Linked DNA regions of Canis lupus familiaris. The protein of the gene in region 3 interacts with the protein of the main gene of each other region in a biochemical or structural test. Links are inferred from orthologs where the notes say so. Each region holds a gene or a part of one and is shown on either strand. Other genes may lie near its edges.

The links.
Region 1: the proteins of DHX9 (region 3) and EIF2AK2 form a complex in vitro, tested with the Homo sapiens proteins (2 studies listed by BioGRID, with this or other methods). The link is inferred for Canis lupus familiaris from reciprocal best matches to the Homo sapiens genes DHX9 and EIF2AK2.
Region 2: the proteins of DHX9 (region 3) and AKAP8L form a complex in vitro, tested with the Homo sapiens proteins (2 studies listed by BioGRID). The link is inferred for Canis lupus familiaris from reciprocal best matches to the Homo sapiens genes DHX9 and AKAP8L.

What each region holds. Positions count from the first base shown.
Region 1 is NC_049238.1:29,682,717-29,686,368, forward strand, and holds part of EIF2AK2 (interferon-induced, double-stranded RNA-activated protein kinase), read right to left. Parts: intron 832-3,652; 5' UTR 819-831; coding exon 700-818; intron 317-699; coding exon 196-316; intron 1-195.
Region 2 is NC_049241.1:47,209,135-47,212,761, reverse strand, and holds the end of AKAP8L (A-kinase anchor protein 8-like), read right to left. Parts: intron 1,113-3,627; coding exon 1,017-1,112; intron 935-1,016; coding exon 617-934; 3' UTR 542-616; downstream 1-541. UniProt on the Homo sapiens protein: Could play a role in constitutive transport element (CTE)-mediated gene expression by association with DHX9. Increases CTE-dependent nuclear unspliced mRNA export.
Region 3 is NC_049228.1:16,147,220-16,150,871, forward strand, and holds part of DHX9 (ATP-dependent RNA helicase A), read left to right. Parts: intron 1-365; coding exon 366-557; intron 558-3,652. UniProt on the Homo sapiens protein: Multifunctional ATP-dependent nucleic acid helicase that unwinds DNA and RNA in a 3' to 5' direction and that plays important roles in many processes, such as DNA replication, transcriptional activation, post-transcriptional RNA regulation, mRNA translation and RNA-mediated gene silencing.

The DNA.
Region 1 (3,652 bases), on a different chromosome or scaffold from region 3:
TCTTTAGTGCTGGCATTCTAAAGAGGTAATTTTCAGGCTTTGCCCACTACTTCCTAGATATACCTCTGACTCTAGGCTCTACAGAAAAGGAGATGGAGGAAAAAGACCCAACTTCTGAATGTAAAAGTACTTGTGAATAGCTTTATTCTGTGTGTGTTTTCTTGCAAAGTAAAGTTAGAAGGGGCATTTACTCACCTTGTTTTCTTTATGAAGTATTTCAAGAGCTAATTTGGCTGCAGTATTTCTGGCCTCCTTCTTTGATTTACCTTCAGCTTCTGGATATTCTCTCTCATCTATGATAGCTTGGAATGTAAATCTGATTACAAAGGCAATATTCATAAAATGTTATAAAATTCCTGCATTATCTACAGACAAGTATTCCAATCACACTGTCTCCCATAACTACCTTGAAGGTTTTAACCTGTTCAATATAGAATTTAAGCAGTCACCCTCACTCAGCCAAATAGCACATCATCTTTGCTCTAGAGCTAATTATGTACTTCAAAATCATGCCAGAGTTGCCATTCTTCCAGTTCATATTTTATACAGCTATACCTTTAAAAAAAAAAACAGCAATTTGGGGTGCCTGGCTAGCTCAGTCAGTAGAGCATGCAATTCTCGATTTCAGGGTTGTCAGGTTGAGACCCACAATGGGTATTGAGAATGCTTTAAAAAAGTCTTTAGAAAGTAGAAATTTACCTTAAGTTATGTGCAGGTCCTTCCTTAGACAGTTCATTATACTTAAGTACCTTTCTGTGCTTCTGACAGAATATATTAAGTTCTTCAATAAAAAAACTTGGTGGACGCTGATTGGCCATTTCCTCTAGTAACCTAGAACAGAAGAGATGTTTGAAAAAAGTGACACAGAATATATTTAATCTCATTTTCCCAATTCAGTGCAGGAGACAAAAAAGGATCAGAAGAATTTTCTTTTTTTAAAAAAATTACTTATTTATTCATGAGAGACACAGAGAAGAGAGAGAGAGAGAGGCAGAGACACAGGCAGAGAGAGAAGCAGGCTCCATGCAGGGAGCCCGATGCGGGACTCGATCCCCGACTCCAGGATCACACCCTGGGCCGAGGGCAGGCGCTCAACTGCTGAGCCACCCAAGCGTCTCAAGAATTTTCTTATAGACTCATTTCAGCCCCACATAAATCCAGAGAAAACGTCTTACAAAATCTTTTTCTCTCATGAACTGCACACCAAGCTAATTTCTCCAAAACTTTCTACTTCCAAAACTCAACTGGTCAAAAAAAGGAAAGGGGTCTTTTTCTTCCACTTTTCTCTCTGCTGCCAGTGAGTGTCAGGTACAGGTATCTCCACCTGCGTGAGAAGGTAAAAAGGCTACACGAGTAGAATCAGAATTCTTCATGATGAGAAAAAAAAGGTTGAGAGTATACATATAAAGTGAAGTCTATAAATGATCGAAGATTTCACTATATAGAAATAGATGCCCCAATGAAATCTCAAAAATCTTCCCTTTAAAATATGCATTAGTCACTTTTACCTGGATAAATAATGACCCCAATTTATGGGTCTATTAGACCAAGAGAGTAGCAGTGATTTAAGTCATAATGAAAATCTAAAAAAATATAGAATCTAAATATAGAAGCCAAAACTATAAAACTCTTAGAAGAAAAAATAAGGGTAATCTTCATAATCTTGGATTTGGCAATGGAATCTTTGCGATGACAGCAAAAGCACAAGCAGCAAAAGAAAACAGATAGATTGGGCTTTAACAAAAGTAAAAACACATCTGTGTTACATAGGACACTATGGAGAAAATGAAAAGACAATTTACAGAATAGGATATCTATAGATCTCCTCTCTGCTCTACTAACACTCACTCCCCTGGTGATCACCTCTAGACTTATGGGTTTAAATTTCACCTACACAATGATGGTTATCACCATCATTAACACCTCTACCCCTGACTATTTCATGACTCTGTTTCTGTTCAATAGGCTGCCTCCTTGACTTCACTCCTTCCACTGCCTCCACCTGGTCAACTCCCATTTCCTAGAGATCACAGCTCAGAGGTCCCTTCCCAGAGACCCTAGAAGTCCTTGTTTGGCACTCCATCACAGCTCTTATTCACTTTACTGCAATTGCTTATATAAATGACTATCTTCCAAAAGAGACCATGAGCCACAAGAGGGAGGGGGCCAGGCTGTTATTATAGGGGGTCAATAATCAATGAATGAATACCAAAATATCAGCAGACCTTCCTCCATCTGCATTACTTGTCACATGCTTTTCGCTTTGCTCTGAATGCAGTATCTACACCTTCTGTCTACCAGGCAACTCCTACTCATCTGTGAGGCTGACAAGTTTTCTTTGATGTTGGAGGGGCAGCCAGTACTCCTCCAAGGGCCTGCCACTCCACCTGGCTCAGCCCTCATAACAGCCCAGTCAGTGAGCTTTTTGGGAAGCAGGTTCCACGTCCTATTCATCTTTGTATCACCAATACCCAGTGACAAGTAGTAAATGTCCAACACTTGGATAGTGTATAGGAAAATGAAAGGATGACCTGTTAAAACTAAATACTCTACTTGAAACCCCCTCATCTGCTCCCTTTTCTTCATCTGCTATTTTCTGGGGATCCTTTCTTCATTTATTCAATAAACACTCATCGAGTGCCAGGCACCATTCTGACAATGAGTATACAGATGTGGACAAGACAAATGAACACCTGACCTGAGGGAAGACAGGAAATGGCCATGCACAGAAACAGATAACGGGAGTGGATAATATGATAAGATGGCCAGAAGTGCTATTGTGAAATTAGATAGGGGTGTGGCATAGAAGGTGAGTTGGTAGGTAGAGGCAGAGATATGAGGGAGGTGGTTTTTAGATACAGTGGTCAGGAAAGACCTTTCATAGGAGGCAATTTTAAATGAAGACTGAATGATGAGTCCATTATATCAAGATATGGGGGAAAAGTAACTCAGTAACCACCATGGCCTTTGAAGGGAGAATAAAAACATCAAGGGATCAAGGGGATGGCTGCATAGTGAGTGAGGGGGAAAAAAGCAGGAAGTGAGTCAGAGAGGTCAGCGCGTATAGATCTTATAGGTCATGGTCGCAACTGATGGATGGTATTCCAATTGCAATAGGAAGTTACTGGACATTCTCTAAGTAGAGAGGGGATGTGATTGGATTAATGGTTTTTTTATTTTTATTTTATTTTTTATTTATTTATTTATTTATTTATTTATTTATTTATTTATTTATTTTTTATTCATAGACACAGAGAGAGAGAGGCAGAGACACAGGCAGAGGGAGAAGCAGGCTCTACACAGGGAGCCCGATGCGGGACTCGATCCCGGGTCTCCATGATCATACCCCAGGCTGCAGGCGGCGCCAAACCGCTGCGCCACCAGGGCTGCCCTAATGGGGGGTTTTTTGTTGTTTTTTTGTTGTTGTTGTTGTTTTAAGATTTTTATTTATTTGAGAGAGCAAGTGCTCGAGAGAACACAAGTGAGGGTGCAGAGTGGAGGGAGAAGCAGGCTCCCCACTGAGCAGGGAAACCGATGTGGGGCTCGATCCCAGGACGCTGGGATCATGACCTGAGATGAAGGCAGACGCTTAACCGACTGAGCCACCGAGGCACCCCTGGATTTCTGTTCTAAATTATTATTCTGATACTAT
Region 2 (3,627 bases), on a different chromosome or scaffold from region 3:
GCGCGCCCCGGCCTCCTCTCCGCTCGGCCGGGTTGGAGTAACCGCGCTCCGCTGTAGGCCTCGGCCTGCAGCCTTGTACGCACCAGCGGCTGCGTCGCCTGAGCAGCGCCTGTCCGCCCCACCCCGCACCGAGGCACCCACACGAACCTCCGTAGCCCTGCTCCATGTCTTCAGCTCGGCCCGCCAGCAGCCCCTTTTTCTAGGCTGCCACAGGACGCATGCGCTCAACACACCTTCCGCCGTCCGCTACTGGAAGACCAGGAGCATACGTCACTCCCCCCGCGCCCCACCATTGGCTGGCTTTCACTGCGCACCCGCCCCTGTCGCCCCAGCGGGCCTTCCGGTTGCTTGGGCTCAGCTTTTACAGCATCTTGGGAGTTTTGGTCCGATCACGCAGTCTTACTGCGCGCAGGCGCTTCCCTCTTCCTTCCCGCCGCCAGTGCGCAGGCGCACCCCCACCCTCCCCCGGGCCCCGCGCGCAGGCGCACGCCATTCCTTCCTATGCCGATGGTGCCGCATACCAACAAACGAAGGAGAAAGAGATGGGACGGGAAGAGCTTTATTAGGCTCAGCTTCCAGCCTTGGGCACGCGGGTCCTGCCCGCCCGGGGCCCGGGTTACGGTGCGCCCCCGCCACCCTCCTCCTCGTCGTCGTCGGCCTCCACGTCGAGGCCCGGGATACCGCGGATCTGGCGCTGAAGCGCCCCGCCCAGCAGGGGCACGGCCTCCTCCTCCTCCTCCTCGGGGGGCGGTGGCGGTGGCGGAGACGCGGCCCCGGGGGCCGGCTCCGGGGGCACGGGGGGCTGCGCCGGCGCGCCCTCTACACCCTCCGCGCCCCCTGCCGCTTCGACCAGCGCGCCCTCGTCCAGGGGGCCGCCCTCGGCCTCCTCCTGTTCCTTCTCTTCCTCGGGGCTATCGGTGAACGGGTTCTCACCCTGTGGGGAGGGAAGCGGACACTGAAGGGAGCGAGGGCCCGCGGGAGCCGGAGGCCGGGGGCCGGGGGCCGGGGCACCTCACCTTCAGATAGCGCTCCAGCTTCTTGCTGATGATTTTGTTGTTGAGGATGCTGCGGGCCACCATGAGCGAGGACTTCTTGGACTGCTCCATCATGAGCTGCAGGCAAGGCAGGCAGGGCTGGAGAGGCTGCTCTGGGCGCCAGAAAGCCCCCCTCCCACACGCCACTAGATCTGCGGAGCCCTCCCAAACCCCTGGGCTCAGCACAGCCAAGCACTCTAACCACGTGATGTAGGTGTACAAGTGTACCTTGGGTACAAGCGTAGGGCCACTCTACAAGCACGGAGCTAAGACCTGATCTGATCTTTGCTCGAATGCTCCATTCTTCCACATCATACGTACTGTATGCAATTGATTAAAGACATATGTCTTTACAGCTGTACAGCAGAAATCTGATGTGCTTACATAAAAACTACAAACAGTGAACAAATTAGGAAACCTACTAAAAGCCAAAGTTGCAACCTATTATCAAGAAGCCAACTGCCCATACGCAAGGAACTCTTTAGAATCAACAGGGAGGATATGATCTGGAATACAAATGTCAAAGAGTACATTTAAGTGAAATACCTCCTTTTAACTCATAGAATTCCGAGGATGAAGAATTATACCCTAAATGGCAAGGGTGAAAAGAGGGTTCCTACCCTGACGGTGACAAGGTCAACTGTTTACTTTTTGGAAAGCAGTTTGATAAAATGTATCAAAATTAAGTTTGTCTCAAAAATTTGTCTCAGTAATTCTTTACAGGAATAAGAATCTATCCTAAGACTTGGAAACATTCATGCACATAGTTGCAGAAAAACTGGAAAACACCTAAAAGTTCTGTGTAGTTAAATAAATCATACATTCAAAAGAACAACATGCAGTCCTTAAAACAGGGCTCATTTCTGGGACCCCTGGGTGACTCAGTTGGTTAAACATCTGACTTCAGCTCAGGTCATGATCCTGGGATCTTGACCCATGTGGGACTTTGTGCTCGGCAGGGAGTCTCCCTCTATTTCTGCTCCTCCCCACCAATGGTGCATGCACTCTCAAATAAGATTTTATTTTAAAAATAGGGCTTATCTCCCTCTGTGTGCTGAGAAAGGCAGTATGCATAGCATGCCAGAGCCTTTTGTCTGGAAGGATTTACACTGAAATGCTAAGTGGTTTTCCTCAATGGTGGAAGTACAGACAAATCTCACTTTTGTCAGTATGAAGATAATGCATATATAAAGCCACAAGCTGGAAGATGAAGGCTATTTCTGTTGGCATGGGGGAGCCCCACCCCCAGGAACCCTGCTGCCGCATCCCAGCCAACTCTTTATTATCATCCTGTCACTTGCTGTTTCTATTCTGTTTCCCCACCTTCACTTTTTCTTTACTCATTTTCTTTACTATTTGGGGAAAATAGGGATAGTCCTCATACATGCTTAAAATGAAACAAGTTAAAGATGCACAATTAGGATGCTAGGTCAGATCATTTCATCTGCAGCTCATCACTTGCCAACACATGATCCTCCTTCCTGTCAGCACAGAGATGTACATGCAACTCCCAAGGGAAGCCCACTTACAGGGTTTCCAGATTTTTGCTACAAGAACCAAACGCCACCAGAATAAACTTAAATACTTCCATGTTGGTGCTACCCAACAGGTTCCCCAAAGTGATGGTGTCTCAGTACTCTGCAAAAAAGTTGTAGTACGTTGTAGTAGTAAGTCGGGCTTCCTCCACCTGTATTAAAACAATGTACTTATCCTTTTGCCTCCTCAGCAGCATCAGATGTTCCCACTGTTGGGTACTTTTGCAGTTGAAGGAAAGAAAATAATGTATGCATCCTCTTGTGGCATTTCCCTGCCCACCAGCGAATCTCAGAGATCTGATACGCACATGGGGCCACCTGCCCAGCATTTCTAGGAGGTCATCTTCTCCACGACCTCTGGGTTTCCTGGCTTGCTCAGGAAGGCTTTCTGCAACCTCAAGGTAAACAATCTAAATTTTGCTCTTTTATTTTTCACATTTATTATTTCTGGAATTTAAATATATTGCAGGAGATTAAAGGTCCAGCTTTCTTGTTCAGAAATTTGTGAGATAAACTGCTTTCTCCATTAAATTGACATACAGGTCTATAATAATCCCTTCTCCACAAATCTGAAATCCAGAAGGAAAAAGTTTTCCCCTAAAACTCCATTGTGTTTTTGAGCCGTCTTTATTTATACCACTTATATAAGTCATTTGAGGCATTACTGATGGTTCGGCTATAAGTCACCTTCCCAGGTCCCACCTAGGGATGTTAGTGATCATCCTAGGGTTTCAGATAAGGAACCTGTGCTGACTTTGATAATTACTAAGTTCCAAAACATACTGGGAACCTTCATTAGACTCTATTCTGGTTCCACCACTGTATTACTATGCCAGTATCGCTCTTCATTTTTAATTGCAGTGGCTTTGAAAAAATATTTTATCTGCTAAACCAATTCCTTAAACTCAACTATCACTCTTTCTATAATTTTCTGGACTGTTGTTAGACTTTTAGTTCTACAACATAGGGCGGCCCAGGTGGCTCAGCGGTTTAGTGCCACCTTTGACCCAGGGCCTGATCCTAGAGACCTGGGATCGAGTCCCACATCAGGCTTCCTG
Region 3 (3,652 bases):
ATTTTTGAGTATGAAGCCAGTGGGAAGGAATGTTTTCATAGAGATGGGAAATTTTTTTTTAGGATTAAGACAGTCGCTTCTAATGTATATGTTGGTAAAACTTCGACTGCTGTGGAGCTTTTCTGAAACAGATCTTAGGGGAGCGCCTGGGTGGCTTACCTGGTTGGGTGTCCTGACTCTTGGTTTTAGCCCAAGTTACAATCTCAGGGCCATGAGACTGAGCCCCATGTTGGGCTATGTGCTCAGCGCGGAGTCTACTTAAGATTCTCTCCCCTTGCCCTGCCCTCTCCCCAGCCCCACACCTCCACACACACACTCTCTTACTCTCTTCTCTCTCCTCTTTCTCTCACCCCCCCAAAAAAAAGATCTTACAGGAGAGAGAGTTGCTGCCTGTGAAGAAATTTGAAAGTGAAATCCTGGAAGCAATTAGTCAAAATTCGGTTGTCATTATCCGAGGTGCTACTGGATGTGGTAAAACCACACAAGTTCCACAGTTTATTCTAGATGACTTCATCCAGAATGACCGAGCAGCAGAGTGTAACATTGTAGTAACTCAGGTAAGTAGTGAGCCAGCTTACAAGGGGGGTGTCTGGTGTTGATAGAGTTTGAGAGGTGGAAACACCTAGAGGCCAGGCTATTTCTAGTTCTTTGTAACTCCCCTTTGTAGCCACATTAGGCCCTTTAAATTTTTTTTTTTTTTTTAAAAGAAGTTAAGTCTGGTTCTAATCTCCTTCACTGATAAGCTGAACTGAACCATGTAAATGATTCTTCTTGTCTGGGCTAGAGGTAATCTTTGGTCCTAGAATCAGACAAGACTGAGAATATTTTTTCCTTAAGTTAATATGTAAATGTTGGTCCTCTCCATCTTAAGATCCACCTTACTACTCAGAGCAAGAGTAGGCAAGCCAACAAAACAGGTAATGGTTGACTCTAACTGAATGCTTTATGTATGCCAGGTTCTATTTGAAACAGTTGGTATTTTCTAAACTCATTTGAAGTTTATTATGACTCTAAGATGTACATATTTTCTTATTTAGTATTTCTCCTTCATTAAACTAAGGCACAAAGAACTAAATAAATTGCCCAAGTTATTAACACAGGAAGTAGTGGAACTAGGATTCAAAACCAAACGATTTGCTTCATTTAACTACTACATTGTATTACCTTACCAGCAATAAGTGATGCATGTGAGTTTGTCCCAGAGCTTAGGGAAGAACTAATTAGCCCTTTCAAGCCTTGGGTTGAAGCAGTTCCCGTCCATTCTAACCCTGTACTTCTGGCACTTAGAAGGAGAACACTATATAGAAAGAAGCCAGATACCACCTCTTAGGCAGCCTCAGACCTTGACTTAGGGACTCTTAACCTGGGACACATAGCTGATACTTGGGGAGGAGTTGTGAACCTCAAAATAGCAAAATTTTAAATTTAAAAATTTTTGAAATTGATGTAGATCTTGATTGTTGTCTTATGTTTGATATAAGAGTTGGGTTTTTTGGGACACTTGGGTGACTCGGTGGTTAAGCATCTGCCTTTGGCTCAGGGTGTGATCCCAGAGTCCTGGGATCAGGTCCCCACATCAGTCTCCCTGCATGGAGCCTGCTTCTCCCTCTGCCTATGTCTCTGCCTGTCTCTCTCTTTGTCTCTCATGAATAAATAAATTAAAAACCTTTAAAAAAAAAAAAAGAATTGAGCTTTTTGACTTAAAAAATTACGGATTATTGAAAGAATGGATGTTGCATTTAAATCAATGGCATTTTAGGCTTAAAAAATATCATAGGTCTACGTTGTTCTGGGAAAGGACTCTTTTTTTTTTAAATATTTTATTTATTTATTCATGAGATACACACACACACACAGAGAGAGAGGCAGAGACACAGGCAGAAGAAGAAGCAGGCTCCGTGCAGGAACCCCGACATGGGACTTGATCCCGGGACTCCAGGATCACGCCCTAGGCCGAAGGCAGGCGCTAAACCGCTGAGCCACCCAGGGATCCCCTGGGAAAGGACTCTTAACTTTCTTCTTAAAATGTTTGATTGCAGGGGATCCCTGGGTAGCTCAGCGGGTTAGTGCCTGCATTCGGCCTAGGGCGTGATCCTGGAGTCCCGGGATCGAGTCTCATATCAGGCTCCCTGCATGGAGCCTGCTTCTCCCTCTGCCTGTGTCTCTGCCTCTCTCTCTCTCTCTCTCTCTCTGTATCTCTCATGAATAAAAAAATTAAAAATCTTTAAAAAAATGTTTGCCCTTCCCATTCCCAAAACTGGCTATGAATCCTTTGCCTGATAGTGAAATTTCCAGCACCCAGTACTGTGACCAATAAAATGTCCTTGGTCTTTGTTTTGTTGTTTTTTGTTTGTTTTGTTAATATCTTTGCTCTTAATGTTTACCTGTCTTATAGGAGGTATATTTTTCAGGAAGGTGTATTGTTTAGAAGAGGAATCTTGAACTCTGCTCTGCCCTCCTTCCTTACTGCCACTCACCCTTTTCATCTCAAAAAACAGTTCAGTCATATAGGAAGAGATGCAGAATTCAGCAGATGAGCTGAAAACTTGTCTTCTCACTCAGAAGTTGATCACATGTCATGAGTAGAATAAAAGTCATTTCCTGTTGAAGTGAGAAGCTGTTTTTTTCACTAGCCATCTAATAGATATCAAAGCCAAGTTAGTTGATCTAGCCAAAAATGGCTTTTGTATAAACACTTTTTAACTTTCACTAGGTTGTGTCCTTTTCCAAATAATTTGGTCATTTCCACTGGTTTTATCTGTGAAATGCACAGGTTTTAATATATAGGCTATAACAAATGTTAATGAGTTACAGAATGGTATTCTGCTTCTTTGCATAAGAACACAGCTTTCACTTCTATTAGTCCTCTTTTATTTATATTCTTTCATAAAGTGATAGAATCATAAAGTTGAAAGATGCTTTGGAGAATTATTCCATCTTTTTCTCTGGGTGGAATGTTTATTATAGATGGTCACTTAACTTATGCTTGAAAATTTCCATTTGTGGGATGCCTGGGTGACTTAGTGGTTGAATGTCTGCCTTTGGCTCAAGGGTGATCCCAGGGTCCAGGATTGAGTCCTGCATCAGGCTCCTTGTTTACTGGGTAGTCTGGTTCTGCCTCTGCTTGCCCTCCCTTCACTCCCTCCTACCCCCACTTCTGTGTGCTCTCTCTTTCTTTGTCTGACAAGTAAAATCTTTAAAAATAATTTTCCGTCTTATGCACATGCTGTTATTCTTAAAGGATGGAGATTTTTAAAGACTGTTTCTAACATTTTGGTATTATATATACTGAGATGAACATACTTGCACCTAAATCTTTATGTATTCCTTTGATTATTCCATTGAAATAAATTCACAAACATGGAATTTTTGGGTCAGATGATATACATATTTTAACTTTTTTTTTTAATATTCCATTTATTTATTCATGAGAGACACGGAGAAGAGAGAGGCAGAGACGTAGGCAGAGGGAGAAGCAGGCTCCATGCAGGGAGCCCAACCGGGATCATGTCCTGGGCTGAAGGCAGCACTAAACCGCTGAGCCACCTGGGCTGCCCCTATATTTTAACTCTTAATGCACTTGGCTCTATACTCACCTTAGGAAAAATCCCATCAAATTATTTATGAATAAAAGAAATGTTTCTCTTCAGTA